Tribolium castaneum: one gene and its partner. The protein of the gene in region 2 purifies or fractionates together with the protein of the main gene of each other region. This does not show direct contact. Links are inferred from orthologs where the notes say so. Each region holds a gene or a part of one and is shown on either strand. Other genes may lie near its edges. The genes, in order: replication factor C subunit 4 and Gnf1.

The links.
Region 1: the proteins of Gnf1 (region 2) and replication factor C subunit 4 fractionate together in Homo sapiens (co-fractionation; 7 studies listed by BioGRID and IntAct, counting the BioPlex papers as one, with this or other methods). This does not show direct contact. The link is inferred for Tribolium castaneum from reciprocal best matches to the Homo sapiens genes RFC1 and RFC4.

Annotation. Positions count from the first base shown.
Region 1 is NC_087402.1:11,619,707-11,631,253, reverse strand, and holds replication factor C subunit 4, read right to left. Parts: upstream 6,955-11,547; 5' UTR 6,894-6,954; coding exon 6,787-6,893; intron 6,737-6,786; coding exon 6,461-6,736; intron 4,315-6,460; coding exon 3,921-4,314; intron 3,868-3,920; coding exon 3,754-3,867; intron 3,713-3,753; exon of another isoform or gene 3,700-3,712; coding exon 3,616-3,699; intron 3,569-3,615; coding exon 3,476-3,568; 3' UTR 3,443-3,475; downstream 1-3,442. Other genes in the region: Ranbp21 (exportin-5), read right to left, coding at 7,342-7,470, 9,123-9,550, 9,599-9,877, 9,932-10,055. UniProt on the Homo sapiens protein: Subunit of the replication factor C (RFC) complex which acts during elongation of primed DNA templates by DNA polymerases delta and epsilon, and is necessary for ATP-dependent loading of proliferating cell nuclear antigen (PCNA) onto primed DNA.
Region 2 is NC_087398.1:12,867,725-12,871,761, forward strand, and holds the start of Gnf1 (replication factor C subunit 1), read right to left. Parts: upstream 2,801-4,037; 5' UTR 2,659-2,800; coding exon 2,650-2,658; intron 2,599-2,649; coding exon 2,025-2,598; intron 1,978-2,024; coding exon 1,823-1,977; intron 1,772-1,822; coding exon 1,648-1,771; intron 1,594-1,647; coding exon 808-1,593; intron 1-807. Other genes in the region: mRF1 (peptide chain release factor 1-like, mitochondrial), read left to right, coding at 3,312-3,339, 3,388-4,037. UniProt on the Homo sapiens protein: Subunit of the replication factor C (RFC) complex which acts during elongation of primed DNA templates by DNA polymerases delta and epsilon, and is necessary for ATP-dependent loading of proliferating cell nuclear antigen (PCNA) onto primed DNA.

The DNA of each region.
Region 1 (11,547 bases), on a different chromosome or scaffold from region 2:
AAAAAAGGTCTAGATCAAGGTCATTCAAGGTCGAATTTTTTCGAAAACGGGGCATTTGATCTAGAGGCTTTTTGAAAGCGAAATGCAAAAAAAATTTTTCAAAAATCCAGAAGTAGCTAAAGTAAAAAAAAGGTTACGATGCCTCAGAAAAAGCAAGTGCTAAAATTTCAATTCTTCTAAATTAACTCGAACAAGTCATACCACCCTTGCATTTTTACGCTTTTTTATAATCTAACTATTTTTTATTAGTTATTGTTCAGAAGATGAAAACTTGTTGTACGGTTTAAGTTGGGTTTTTCAGAAAGGAAGAGGTTGCGATCACGTGATAGAAAATCCTGATCCTTTTAATCTGTGTCCTGAGTAGTGTGAGGAAATTTTATGGGGTGGCCATGAGGCCACAACCGATCAGCTGACTCGTCGTAGCGCTCTCGCGATGTTCATATTTATCGATGAAATGGTCCGTTATAGCGCGTGCATTGGCGTAGTTTACTAGGGGTTTATACAATTAATGTTACCGGTTGATTCGTCAGAAACGTTACGATTTGTATATTTTTTTAAAAAGGACTTTAAAGAAGGATTATTTAGTTATCTACAAAATGTGCTCGAGGTGAAATCACAGCGTATTTCCCTTTGAAACGTGTGGTTGAAAACATTTCAAGGACTAAAAATGGTAAATAATTAAAAAAATATTAATGTCACACCAAAGAATACTTTGAAACGAATTACAATTTCGCAATTTAGTTCTACTTGGTCACTTTTATGCTTTTTAAATAAGTACATGAGATAAAAATGTTCTTTTGACTTTTTAGATATTATTAAAATTAACAGAGAGTTAGGGCGGTTAAAAGTAAAGGAATAATATTAATAGATAAGTGACATTAATTATTTTTTAATTATTTACGAATTACGATTTTTAGCTCTCGAAATGATCAAAGGCGATGAACACGCTTCAGAGGGAAATACGGTTCGGTTTCACCTCAGGCGCATTTTGCAGTAATTTTAAATTGCAATAACTTGGTGAGTCTTACAGATAACGAAATGATTCTTGCACCAAAAATTTATTTCAAGTATTAGCTTTATTTCGTCTCGATCTTTTAAATTAAAAAACTTTCTCGCATCTCGAAAATTTCACTACACAATTATGCAAGATTACAAGAAAATGTAATTTTTTTGGTTTCCCTTTATCAAAACTCAACCTTCTTAAACTACGTATAAATCTGCATTTATTGAAAATTTGTTTGCAAAAAAAACGGAGTTTCTAGCTTTATCCAGAAGGAAGATATTAGTATGTAAACGCAAAATGTGTCCAATTTTAGGTGTTTGCAAATTTTTAGCTAAAACGTCTTTTTAGCCCCTTCGCGAGGGTTGAAACAAAGAATTCTTTGTCTAAACATTTTTTAATACTCTTTCCTAACTTATATCAACAATGCAAGCTGTTCCACAACATTTCGATTTAAAGGTTTATCTGACTGCAAGCGCGCGCCTATGCACTAACCTTCGCCCATAAAATTTCCTCACACTGGTCCTGAGACAGATCAATTTTTATTTTCAGGGAGTCATCTTTTAGTGTACCTTTAACAGTTGTTGTACCAACCCCCTTTCTGGTACCCCAAATGAAAGGTATTTTTGACCAGAAATTCGCATGAGTTTGTTTTGAGTTTAGATACTTTTTTTATGCGGTTACATGGTGGTCAATACAATTACCTGACAATACTATTGATAGAGATACATGTGGTTTGCATTTTAATTTAGTCTATATCTACAACCAGTACAACCCCTAATAACTAAAAACCTCAATCCGTAACACGTTCGTTTCCCTTTAACTGCTCGAATATTTGTCAAATAACCAACTTTTTTACAGTTTTTACATGAAAAACGCATCAAATTAATCAGAAACTTCAAGTACTTACCTAAACTGGGGAAGGTATAGCCGGTCGAACCCACGTGCAAACTATCAAACCTAAAGGAAGTCTTGAAATCTCCAGGTCCAACCGGTCACACAGTATTTTAACAACAAAACGTTTACGTAAAAGAAAATCACGTTTCAGCAACACTACATATTTGCAAATTCGTCTTTCAAGACACTTCTAGTATTTTATGCTGAGCACAAAACACAAAACCGCTGATTATATATGCCACTAAACCTGCTGAGCGCTGAAGAAAAATATTAAGAATCAACGGACTACACAGAGGGCAGCACCTGATCATGAAGCCATTGTATGTATTTTTGGTTGTCTAATTTATACCACAGTTTACGAAAGACCATAGCCTCCTTGATGTTTGAAGACAACGTTGTTCAGAATCAAAACTATACTCAGAACGTTTGAAGAGGAGTTATTCAAGTAAGCGCGCGAAAAGTAATAAACAAATTGCTTTCTTTACAACTGCACCTTGTTCCTAAATTCAGTCACTACCTCACAGGTCAGTTGGTATCTTATTTTAAGTATTTATAACCGAGTTTAAACGGATTAAAAGTCGATTTAATTTATTGTTCTATTAAAAAAATGGCATGAAAAAAATACGGTAACTTAGCAACATTAATACATAAATTTTAAAAAATGTTCAATTTTTAGTCGTTTTATTTTTTTATTTAAAAATAGTAACATGTTTTTTGATAATTTTTTGTATGGGTCGTGTATATAACACTATTTTTTTCATGCTATTTGAACTTAAGTTTTTCCATAAAAATATTAAGATTATTACGCTGTTTACCCCGTTATAACTTGGGTACAAATATTTAAATCGAGATAAGAAATGGTCTATGAGGTACATAATACGTTAACCTAGGAACTACATCCAAATGTAAAAAAACGATTTAGTTTATTATTTTGCTTGAAAATTGAGTTTTAAATTAATGCACTAGCAGAAACAACGCTTCGAGCGTAATACCGTCTCGATGTCACTCGGTGTGAAATCGTTTTAAATTCAACCAATTCACTAATTACTTGAAAAAAATATGCCGAAATATTTTATTTAATATTAATATTTTAATATTAAGCTTTGCATTCTCAACAGACTGAGAAAAACGGAGGACAAAAATTTTCATGAGAAACATGAGAAAAAAATTATTTGAAATTTAAAATTTGCGCTTTTTCCCGTATTTTTCAATATGCTTCAAAATGCGGTTAAAGATACAAGAAAAATGTCCAAAAAAAAGTTGTAGAGAATTAAATTTCTTTAAAACAGTCAGCGAGCCCATATCTTTACCTACAACGGTTTAGACTTTAAAAGACGTTCAAAGATGCTCAAGCGACTTTTTTGTAGCAAATTTAATTCTCTACAACATCGTTCCTTACATTTTTTTGTATCTTCAACCATATTCGCAGCGTTTTAATAAGTAGGCGACGGTGCCCAAAAAATTATCGCTTAGAATTAGCAATTTGCGTTCCACCTTATATTTTTGAAAACAAACTAATTTTTAATTTCAACTCGAAATAAAACGTTTGTATTTTGGGAAAATTTAATTTAATGAGACTTACACATTACAAAATGCTCGAATTATAGAACACCCCAAATCCAACAGTTGAATAAATTCCGAACCACCATCTTGCAGTTTAAAACTCACAACCTACAAAATTTAATACATCTCACGCAAAACACGGAATAGATAATTACCCCCAGTTTCTGACCAATAATCGCCTTTTGTTGGTCAGTGAACCCCTCAAAATTAACAATGTACTGATTGAGCTGTTCCAAAATCTAAAACAAATTTCTGATCAAAGTGAGTGAAATTAAGTTGCAACACTGATTAACCTGTGAGGCGGCATATGCTTCAAACATCATTTCTTTCAAAAACGCTTGAAGTTTGTTTTGATCTTTGGTTTTACAAACATCTAAAAACTTCTTTAACCAACGTTCTGGCACAACCTATTACAATTTCTATTAAACCAAAAACAATATTAAAAAAAATGAGAACATACACCGGTCACTTCCAACACGTCATCAATACTTATAGGAACCCCACTTCCTTTCAATTTCGCACAACTCTGTAATGAAGTAATGGCTCTCCTCATATCGCCCCCACTTGTCTCAACCAAGGTAGCTAAAGTTTCATCGCTACATTCGACATTTTCTTTCCCACATATGAAACTCAACCGTTCAAGGATCATAGCTTCGTTCAGTGGTTTAAATCGAAATTTCGTACATCGTGATGTCAACGGTTCGATAATCCGTGACACGTAGTTACAAATTAGACAAAATCTGGTTGATCGAGACTCTTTTTCCATCGTTCGACGTAAGGCAGCCTGAGCTGCGTGTGTCATCGAGTCCGCTTCATCCAAAATGACGATTTTGAACGGAGGGCACGGTTTACCACTTAAAAAAACATTGTATAAGTATTCATTATTCCAAATAAAAGTGTGGTCAAAAAGGTATTGCAAAAAAATATAACAAGCCAAAAGAAACAACTAAAATTTGCGCAACTAAAAATGACAAAATTAACATTGTCAGGTAAGTTTGTTCTTTATTGAATTCAAACGATTTTATAATTAATTCGAAATTTCTGTTTTATATCCCATGTCAGTTCATAGTAGAATGTTGCAACAGCGCATTTGAATTTTTTGGAGTGAAATGGAGCACAAATTGAAGGTTTCTGGTGGGATTTACTTTTACGGAAACTCTCAGTTTGTGCTTTATTTCTCGCTCCGAAAAATTCAAATGCGCTGTTGCAATTTAACTATGAACTGAAATGGGGTACATATCAGCTGTTTCAAAACTATAAATGACAACGTCGCATTTTAACGAATTATTTTATTAAATAAGATTGATAAAATGTAAAATAGTTATAAATCATTAGATCTCTCATTGAAACTATAAATTACATTACCAATTATTTTTTTGAAGTGCATGAATAATTCATTACAATCATAACAGCTAATTTTAAGAGAAAATGTGACGTTAGCATTTTTATAGTTTTGAAAGAGCTAATACTTCTTCATCAAAAAGAATTAAAACCAAGAATTGTGCAGGTTGCTGCATTTTGGATGTCGGAATAGGCGATCTCCGAAACTAAGAGGTTTAGAGAAAAACGAGCTCGGGTCCGTTTTTTGAGAAAATAATTTTCATCAAAACCGCATCCCGCTATCGTCTTTTGTTTTCGACTTATAAACAAAAGTTGACATTTTAGCGGAATCTAAAAAAATTCATATCTTTCTTTTTATAAAAGATAAACAAAGACATTATGCCGGCACTTTTTTACAGAGAATTTAATAATGTTATCAGCGTTTTTTTTAATCATTCGTTTAGCTGTAATAACTAATAACATAAAGTTGTATTTTTTTAAAGGAGAATCATAGTTTGCTATGACATTTTCGAAAAGCTTATTTTTTTCTGAACTGAAAACAATATAAATATAGTTTGATATCTGGTATATTTTTGATAAAAAATATATTTAAAATATTTGAAAGTAGTTGGCCATGGTAAAACTATTTCACATAAAAGGTAAATTATCAAAATAAGCTATGTTAAAGTTATTTTCAATCGAACAAATATACGATTATCGCAGATTTTAATTACATAAAAAAGTGCAGAAAAGTGAAAACCTTGTGTCACTACCATTTGATGACACTTTTTTTATAATTTAGTGAAGTGCAATGTTGGTCGGGGGACGTTGTTAATGTTATGTATTTTTTTTACCGCAGATGGGATTTAATTTTGGTGTTTGGATTGACATTTTTCTGTAAAATAAAATTTTATTGACAAGCAATCATACAATTAATAACATTTTTCTTTATTCCGATATTTCATGTTTAATTAGAAAATAGAATGACAATGTAAGCTTGCCATTTTAAATCTAAAAACAAATAATTTTTATTAATCACAAATATTTGATCTAATAATTATTTATTACGCTGTTTTTAAATTAATTAGAATTTAAAAAATCATTACATTATAAATACTTGTTGAGTAATACAGTTCTCATAGTTTTAATTGAAAATCCAAAATTTTTCCATGGCCTACTATAGAGAAAAAGCAAAATGTTTTGTTTTTCTTAAATATTTAAAAATAATGTATTACACATTTAGACGTATCTAATCAGAAAAAATAAGCTTTTGAAAAATATCCCAGCCGCCTATGATTCCTATTAAAAAAAACAAAACTTTATGTTATTCCAGCTAAACGAATGGTTAAAAAATCGCTGATAGCATTATTAAATTCTCTGTAAAAAGTGCCTGCATAATGTCTTTGTTTCAAATGTGTATCTTTTATAATAAGAAAGATGTGAACTTTTTAAGATTTCACTAAAATGTGAACTTTTGTTTATAAGTCGAAAACAAAAGACGATAACAGGATGCGGTTTTGACCAAAATTATTTAAAAAAAAATGGACCCGGAAATGCGTCACTCGTTTTTCTCTAAATCTCTTAGTTTCGGAGATCCCCTGTTTGGACATCCATAATGCAGCACCCTGTACACATCACTGTTGACCAGGTTTTTAACAAAAAATAATTCGCAAAGCTTACTCAGGCCTTGTACCGCTAGCAGTTAGTTGTGCAAAAGTCTTGACCTTGTCTCGAATAACTTGAATTCCTCGTTCATCGGACGCATTCAGTTCAAGAATTCTGTCTCTGTAATAGTCACCAAAAAGCTGTCTTGCAGCTGCCAGAATTGTGCTGGTTTTGCCTGTCCCAGGAGGACCATAAAACAACAAGTTTGGGAGATCCGCCCCTGAAATACATTGCTGTAACACTGAAACAGCCTCGCTCTGTTCCACAACGTCCGAGACTGTCCTAGGACGGCTGCAAACAACCTATTTCAAACAAACAAATATACTAATAATTTTACGTACTATTTTTCAACCCACGGGACGGCTTTCGACTTTTTTGATGTTTTCGAGCTTGAAGGCACTGATTTATCACTATTATCTAACTTTCCCGACTTGAGAAAGGCCTGCATTTTTGCGTAAATATTTGGCGCGTTTTATTTGAGGTTAAGTTGTCAAACGACGAATGTTGATGCTACCGCTTCACAGATGGCGCACAGAAATTTTAGTAAAACAGTAGTAAAAACCATTCCAAAAATTAGTGATTATCTAACTATAAGCGACAAAGATTGTAAATTTATAAATTAAATTAAATTAGATTTTATGGAATGTTTTCTGGTAACCGCTTCACTGCTTGAGGTTTGTTTGTTTCAATGTCAAAAAAAATTGAAAAAATCGTTTGAAAAATTACTATTTATTAGAGACCAAGAGATAAGATTGTAAATAATATTAAATTACAACAATATATTACAAAAGAATGCATTGATTGATCATGATAAAGTTGGTCTTGACCAATTGAACAACAAGGAATGTTGTACAATAAATTAAATAAATAACAATTAGATAATATTTCAGGCAATATTAACTAAACACATTTTGCAAGTCAGGTGTCACTTCTTTCGGTTGAGGTTTCTTCGAAAATGCTAAGCTGGGTAGGTCATGAATTTTGACCTCTTTTTTAAAAAGCTGGCCCATACTTCGTCCAATCAACTGAAAAAAAATCAAGTTACGATATAACTCAAATTCTATAACCCAAGTTAGAACTGTTTGCGCTCTCTGGTAGTCAATTCCGATATCACGACATTCACTTGTAGCATTTAAAGAAATACGTTTTAAATAAAATCACATAAACTAATTAATATTGACACAATTTAGTAAAAAATTAAAGTAACAAATAGTATAAAAAATTTAGTAATATATTTCAAAAAAAAATTTTTGCTACAAAAACTTGTTTTTAAAAAAACAAATAAAAAGAAGTTCGGCATATATCCCAAAAGAGCAAAAATAATGTAACTCTTATCTTACTTTGATCATTATTCGATGGTTGTAGCAAAAAATCTCAACCAAAACTAATGATTTAATTAAGGGCACCATTTTCAAGTTTTTTGTTTGTTTGGCGATATTGTAAAACAAAAATCAACAATTTTTGGCTAAATATGATTTTTTTGCGAACCGTATTCAATAAATTTTTACAAAACAATTGTATTCCCAACTGACAAACATATTAAAACACAAGAAAAAAATATATTTCCAAAAGTCTTTAGTAATTTTTCAAAGCAAAACCACTATTTTTAAATAATTCATTGATTTTTAACTTAAACTGGATGAAACAAACAAAAAATATATATTAATTTCGATCAAATTTCGCATTTGACTAATTTGACTATTTGACTAATAAAAAAATAAAAATAAAAATGCGTTCCGAATAACCTTAGCATTTTCGGTCACTTTTAAAAAAATCTCAAAAACAAAAAGTGAACATAGTTCAAAAACACCATTTTTGTTTTTGTTTTTCTATTGAGCCACCCTAAGTATCTACGAAAATAAGCAAAAAATTAAAAGATTCCAAAACAAGTCAATTTTTATTAAAAGGGGGACACCTAATGTATAAAAGTTGTAGCGCCAACCCCCCTTGTAACACAAACAACCCTTACAAAATTTTAAATGGCAACATGCCCTTTGTGATACCTCAAATAAAAGATATTTTGACTAAGAATTCGACTGTGTAATTTTTTGTTAGTTTTCAGTATTTTTATTTACATGACCCAGAACAAGATTTATCAGAACAGCAGAACAAATTTATTATTATAAAAGACACCTATAAATTTTAAACGTGACAAAATAGTGAATTCTGGCAAAAGTGATAAATCCCTCAAAAGAAGCAAAAACGCTTCAAACAGAAAAACGACAGCTCAGACTAACTACTTAAGTAAGCACCAGAATTTAAAACACAAATCAAGACACACCCTACAATTGAAAGTTGAAACAATATTGCCGAAAAATGCATAAAAATGATAAAACAAATAAGCAAAAATTTGATAGCGATGACACCGCGATGACTTTTCTTAAAAACTACGGTAGTTATCTGAACGAAACGGCACACTGAATTTAAGACCATAGTCGACTTTTTGATAAAGAACCATCTTTGAACAGTGGATTATCAAGTAATTGAGCCCCAAGTAACTTTATAAAAAATTATTGAAACTCAAAAAAAATCACAGTGCCGAATTTCTTCTGATCAAAAAAGTATGTTCTTCTAAGAAAATTAAATTTCTGCAAGGTTGCTTTAATTTGGGAAAAAAGTTGTGATTCTATATCGTACACCAGAGAGCCCTTGAGCAAAGAATAGACGAAAAACTTACATTTCCCGTTATTTTCCGAAACAAATCCTTCTTCACCTTCTCGACCTTATTTCCTTTACTTGTACTGCCTGAAATTCTTTCATCCAACTTTTGCAAATCAACTGGGTTCACTCCGGGAATTTGTTGCATCACACCGAGTACTTCGAGAAAAGTAGGCCGTAACATTTCATACATTTGTGCACCTAAGGTCAATAAAGACCCTTGATTGGCTTCATGTTGCCCATGTAACATCAAAGCGTTCAAAACGGACGCCATTATATGTGCTGCCATCTCTCCGTTTAAAGAACTATCAGAAACCAATTGTCTAACTATAGGTCCAGTCAAAAAAGTTGCTTTTAACGATGCGTTACTGTCAATCCATGACAACGCACCCAGTACTGCCAACACAATCGACTGACAAGTTTTCTCGCTACGCAAGAGTACCAAACCTTGAACATGAAATTAGCCAAAATTTGATTATTTATATTGTCACAAACCTAAATCAGATATAACCTCCGTGGTCATATTCGATCGTGTTGGAGGAGGCGGTGTTGGGGAATCCATACTCAGATCTTCAGTTTCCATATTTTCAGTATTTGTTTCAGGTGTGAGTCCACCGCCTACTAAAGCCACCTTTAGTACGTCCAAATATTCACGAGTTAGAGCTCGTGTTAAAATATCTTCAAGAACTTCTTGAGTGTCAGCGTTATCTTCTTGTCCTTCGCGATTGCGAAATTCGTTCACTTGTAACCATTTTGCGTGTAAACGTGATAACACTAAAACGTTGGTTGTATAATTCTGATTTGCTACATAACACTATTTGATCGTACTTAGAGGTGCTATGTGTGCAACGATGGGCAAAAGTACAGCTTCGTAGAATGGCGTAGGACAAGAATAGATAAAGGGTTTTAAGAAAACACGAATTATGGGTCGCATTCGATAATCTGGGATACACTAAAATGGAAACAACATTATTGTAAGATATAACAATTAAGTTGGCAATTGAAATCTTCATTTGGCAACAATGACTAAAGTTTTTTAGAAGACTCTCGTTGGGTAGATTTTAGTTTTCTCGTAACAAATTAGGACTAAAGATAATAGCTTTGTTCGGAGGATATTTAAGACTATATCCTGAACTAGTCCAAGATTTATTTAAAGCTAATGTACGGTTCAGAATCAGTTACGGATTTTCGATCACCGCGAACGATAATTTATCGTTATCAAGTATACAATAAATGTTTAAAAACTAACAAGCCACCAAAAATTATCACAAAGTTATAAATGAGATTCGAAAAAATTTGATACAAAAAGGTATACATTGATGAAAACAACCCATTTTAAAGTTTACAACGTTATTTTATAAATAACTTCAATTTAGTAAGGAATTAAATAAATCCCGGTAACTAAAACTATTTCTTTATTGTGATTCAAACCGATTACCAACTATTATACAGGCTCTCGCAAACAAGTGCAAATATTTCAGCGGTAATGTTAGAAGGTATGGTGATCCAACTCCCTTCATTTGTTTTAAAGTGGAACCAACTAACAAGGCCAGGAATCATTTCAAAATAATTAAATTAAATTCTTTTTATTTTAAAAAATAAATTGACAAATATTTTTTTTGCTAGAAACGTTAAAATAAAACTATCTGGACTGATATCGACTGCATCTTAGTACATTTTATCATTTTACGCGAAAACAGTACACTTTACAAAAAACTTACAAGTTACAACAAAAAATTTAAACTGAATGGGCTTGAAATTGGACTAAAGCCGAAATTGAGCTACAAAGTTATGAAATCATTTATGTCAACAGAGCCCTCGTAGCCTCCTTTGACAACGTTCTGCAACTTTAGGTATAATTTACACTGTTAAATAATTATTTAAAAAAACGACTGTTGAGGATAATAATTTTACAATTCCACAAAAAATACAAATCAATTTGTTTTACGCTTTTTGTCCAAAAAAGCTGTATTTTTTTTGGAAACTCAAGAACATATGTGAATCCGGACAAATCACGCTCATCCACTCGTTATACTTATAATGTTTTTCAGTAAAAGTTTTCGTGAAATTTATGAATTACTAAAAATGTAAGACACAGATTTGCGATTTATTCATGAGGTAAAGTTTCGGGAACGGTCCTTCTCATCTTCAAACAATGATATGTAATTTGAATCTGTATTAAACCATAGTATCTTAGTTTTTACTTGTAAATATTCCAACATGTTCTAAAATCTCTTACAATATTTCTCTCGGAAATTCGACCCTAAATTAAATTTGACTTCATGGGAAACAAAAGAGCAACAATTAATACCACTGCTAAAGAAAACAAATTTAAGAAGTTGAATCTACCTTAAATCTAATTTAATTTTTATGATTAACTAACATCTTTTATTACCATTTGACACTTTTGAATCTCCCTGCATTCATATTTTTTTCCTTTTCAC
Region 2 (4,037 bases):
AAGTAAACTACACACAGTATTTAATTAAAATCATGGTATATGCACAGTATCTAGTTTCCGTTTACGCAGTTAATAAACGTTCAATAACTAGCTTGCAGGCTGCAATTATTATTTTTTCTGTGCATTGTCGTTTAAATAAAATACTGTGCATTTAATTTGTACCGATTTTGAAATCCCAGTTATGTATAACGATTTCATGGATATTTTAAATTCTGGATATCATCATAAACGTCATAAATTTAGTAGATTTTTTTTACTGGTTTTTTTAATTTCCCAAAATTCTAAATATATCTGGTGTTTCGTTATTGCATTTACGCTACTTTAACTCATTTAAATCGTATCTAATCCTATAAAAACGATTTAAGTTGATGGGAGGAAAAAAAGGAGAGAACTGCAGGAAATTATTTGAGATTTTTTTTAACTCTCACTTACTTTTCTTCATTCTTTACCGAAAATCTTAGTGCAGTATTGATAAACATGAAGAGAAATGTCATCAAGATATACATATTAATATTGCACGTAGATGAGAGACGATACAAGGAAAAGTTGACTAATAGACAGGAGATTGTCAGATGCAATGCTATCAGATTTTCGTGAATTTTTCAGTGAAAAATATGAAAACAAAAACTAGAGGAATGGCTGTAAGCTAGATTTCGTGACCGCATCTATTGTTTTATTTTATATTGTTTTTTATTCTTTTCTTCTTCTTTTTTTTAATACGATACATTTATTTCTTTTATGTATTTTTACAAATATTATTGCGGAAGTAATGAAAAAAAAAACATTTTTCTTAATTTTAATACTGACCTGTTGCATATCCAGCTATTGTTTTAGTGCTCAACAACTGCGCCACTTCTTCATGTAGCAACTTCTTGCTCCTCGTATCAGAAGCATTAAACTCGACTATATCCAAACCCAATTCCTTTGCCACAAGTGTTGCAGTTGTGGTTTTACCAACACCTGGTGGACCACTCAACAACGCACACTTGAAATAAGCACCATCATCTTTCTTAGTAGACCAAGGACTAGGACGTGCTAATGTTTTTTTAACTTTCGGGTCTTGATTTTTGTACCAATTTTCAAGCCAGTGTTTGAGTTTGGCCAAATTACTTGAATCACCTTGTTGTCCTATTACTGCTCGAAGTGTCTGTGGCTTGTATTTTTCAGGCAAGGATAACTGAACTGCCTCTACTTTATTTTCGATTTTTGTACTTTCCGAAACTTTACTAGTGCCAGGTTGGCTATAAAAACTGTTAGATGACAGAGTTTCACTTTTAATTTCCTGCTCTATTTTGGATGGAGCGGTACCGTTTTGTTTTTTGACACTCGATTTTTTTTCAGGCGTTTCTTTTTTAGGCTCAGTTTTGTTACTTATTTTTTCTTTGCTAGGTTTTGTTTCATGGTTTAAATCAATGCCTAAATCCTCGCTATCACACGACGTATTCTTTTTGCAATATTTCGGTTCCATCCCTGACTTTGTAAGTATCATGTCCAAAAGCTCATCTTCAGATATGTTAGGTATGTTATAACTTTCAGCTTTTGCAAGTTTTGCCGGCCCTGGTTCTGCACCCACAACCACATAATTTACTTTTTCTAAAAAAAATAACTTGCACTTTATTTTTTTCATTAATAACAAAAAAATCGTACTTGAAACTGCGTGCACTACACGTCCACCGTGTTGTTTTATTATATTTGCAAACTCCTCCGAATCAAGCGAGTCTAAAACGCCAGTTCTTAGGAAACACAAATTTTGCAAACAATTCGGCTTCCCCTGGAAATAAGAAAGACAATTGTAAGTTTTTTAACATTTTGAACGACACACTTTTGGCAATTCCTTCATTCCAAGATGTTTGGGTTCCCCTCTGTTGAGGTACCTTTGGTAGAGCATGGCTGAGTATCTCTTTTTTTCATGAGCTTCTTGTCCCGGATCAATACCAGAGTCCGAATGCTCAATTTTCTTCTTCTTAGGTGTTTGATCTGAAAATACGTTATCTTGAATTTCAAACAAACTTAAAACTACTTACTATCACTTGACGAATCGTTTCTTGATCGTTTCTTTGCGCTTTGAACTTGACTATCTGATTCATTTTTACTTTCTTTCTTTTCTTTATCACCCTGGTACGCTTCCTCAATTGACTCAATAAGATGAATACTCTGTTCGAAAATATCATCATCTAAGTCTTCCAGCGTCTTGTTGAAAGCACTATTGTTGTGAATCTCCTTCTCCGCATCGTGCTTTTTCTTCCTATTTTTGGGTTTTTTCTCTTCTGCTTTTGTAGGCTTGACTTCGGGTGTTTGTGGCACTTCAACCTTGCTCTGTTTTATAGGACTGTTCTTAAACACGTCGGCCACATTCACCGGTTTTAATTTCGGTTCTTCAGTCTTCCTTTTTTTCTTCGCGTCTTCATCAGAGTCTGAACTTAGAACTTCACGTTTCTTCTCAACCTTCTTCTGCTCTTTGTCTGGAGTGGCAGAAATCACGTCCTCATCATCGGAGTCTATGATACGTTTTGGCTTCTTTTTAACGGCAGGAGAAGCAGCTTTGGGCGAATTTGCATCAGACTTCTTTGAAATTACAGTGAAAAAGGAACGGATGTCCTAAAATTAAGGTTAATTGCTCGTTTGGGAAAAATACAAGTTTTGGCTTACTTTCGACATGGTACGATTACGTTACACCCAAAATTATCTGTTGTTTTTATCAAATTATTATCTGTTTGCAGGTTGTTGTTTAATTCACAAACACAATCCGGGAAATCTCCCGCCACAACAAATTTCAATTGACAGTTAGTTTTTCAGGTTAGAAAAAAATAACCTCTTTAACCTCAAATTATAAAAACATGTATTTATTTTCGAAAACACTATTACGAAGGGTATTACTAGTCCGAAAAAATTACGTTTTTTATACAACGTCTAAGTATGATCTAGATTTGGCCATCAAAGGGGTGTCTCTCCGAAATTACATTAAACGATTGGAACATGAATATGAGGGGCTTTTAAAATTGAACAATTACACTGCCAATAGTCGCTTTCATCAATTGCAGCCTCTAATTAACGCACTAAATGAAAGAAAAGATGCTGTCGAAAACATACAAAATTTGTCCGAATTATTGAACGAAAAAGACGATGATATTAGGAAACTGGCAGAAGAGGAAAAACTGACGTTTGAAAGCAGGATCAAGTCTATTGATGAAAAACTACTTGAAGCAATTTTACCGTCAGATAAGGAAGATGAGTGCAACTCCATCGTATTGGAAGTTAATGCTGGAGTTGGGGGCCAAGAGGCAATGTTATTTGCTAACGAATTATTCGAAATGTATTGTAATTTTGCCGAGCATCAAGGTAAGAAATTCACCAGTTTTTTCAAACACAAACCTTTGTATTTTCCAGGCTGGGAAACGCAAATCGCTGATTACTCCCCAGTTGACATTGGCGGAATCAGGCACGCAAGTGCCCTAATTAACGGACCTCAAGTGTTTCAATTTTTCAAGCATGAAGCGGGGGTTCACCGGGTCCAGAGAATCCCGACTACGGAAAAGGCGGGTCGTATTCACACCAGCACTGTCTCGGTTGTTGCCCTTCCACAACCCACAGAGATTGAAGTTAACATCGATAACAAAGATTTGAAAATTGAGACGAAACGGGCGAGTGGGGCTGGGGGGCAGCACGTGAATACGACCGAAAGTGCCGTCCGGGTGACACATTTGCCCACGGGGTTTAGTGTGGAGTGTCAAGTGGACAGGTCTCAAGTGAAAAATCGTCAAATTGCTTTGGCTAAGTTGAGGGCTTTGATTTATCAACGTGATCTTGAAGAGCAGATAGCGAGGAACGAGAATATGAGGAAGAACCAAGTTAGGTCGAATTTTAGAAACGAGAAAATTAGGACTTATAATTTTCCGCAAGACAGGATCACTGATCATAGGTTACAGGGGTGCAATGTGCACAACCTTAAAGGGTTTCTTCAAGGGAATGATGCTTTAGGGAGTTTGATTAAGAAACTAGATCAACAGTACAAAATTGAGACTTTGTTAAATCTTGTA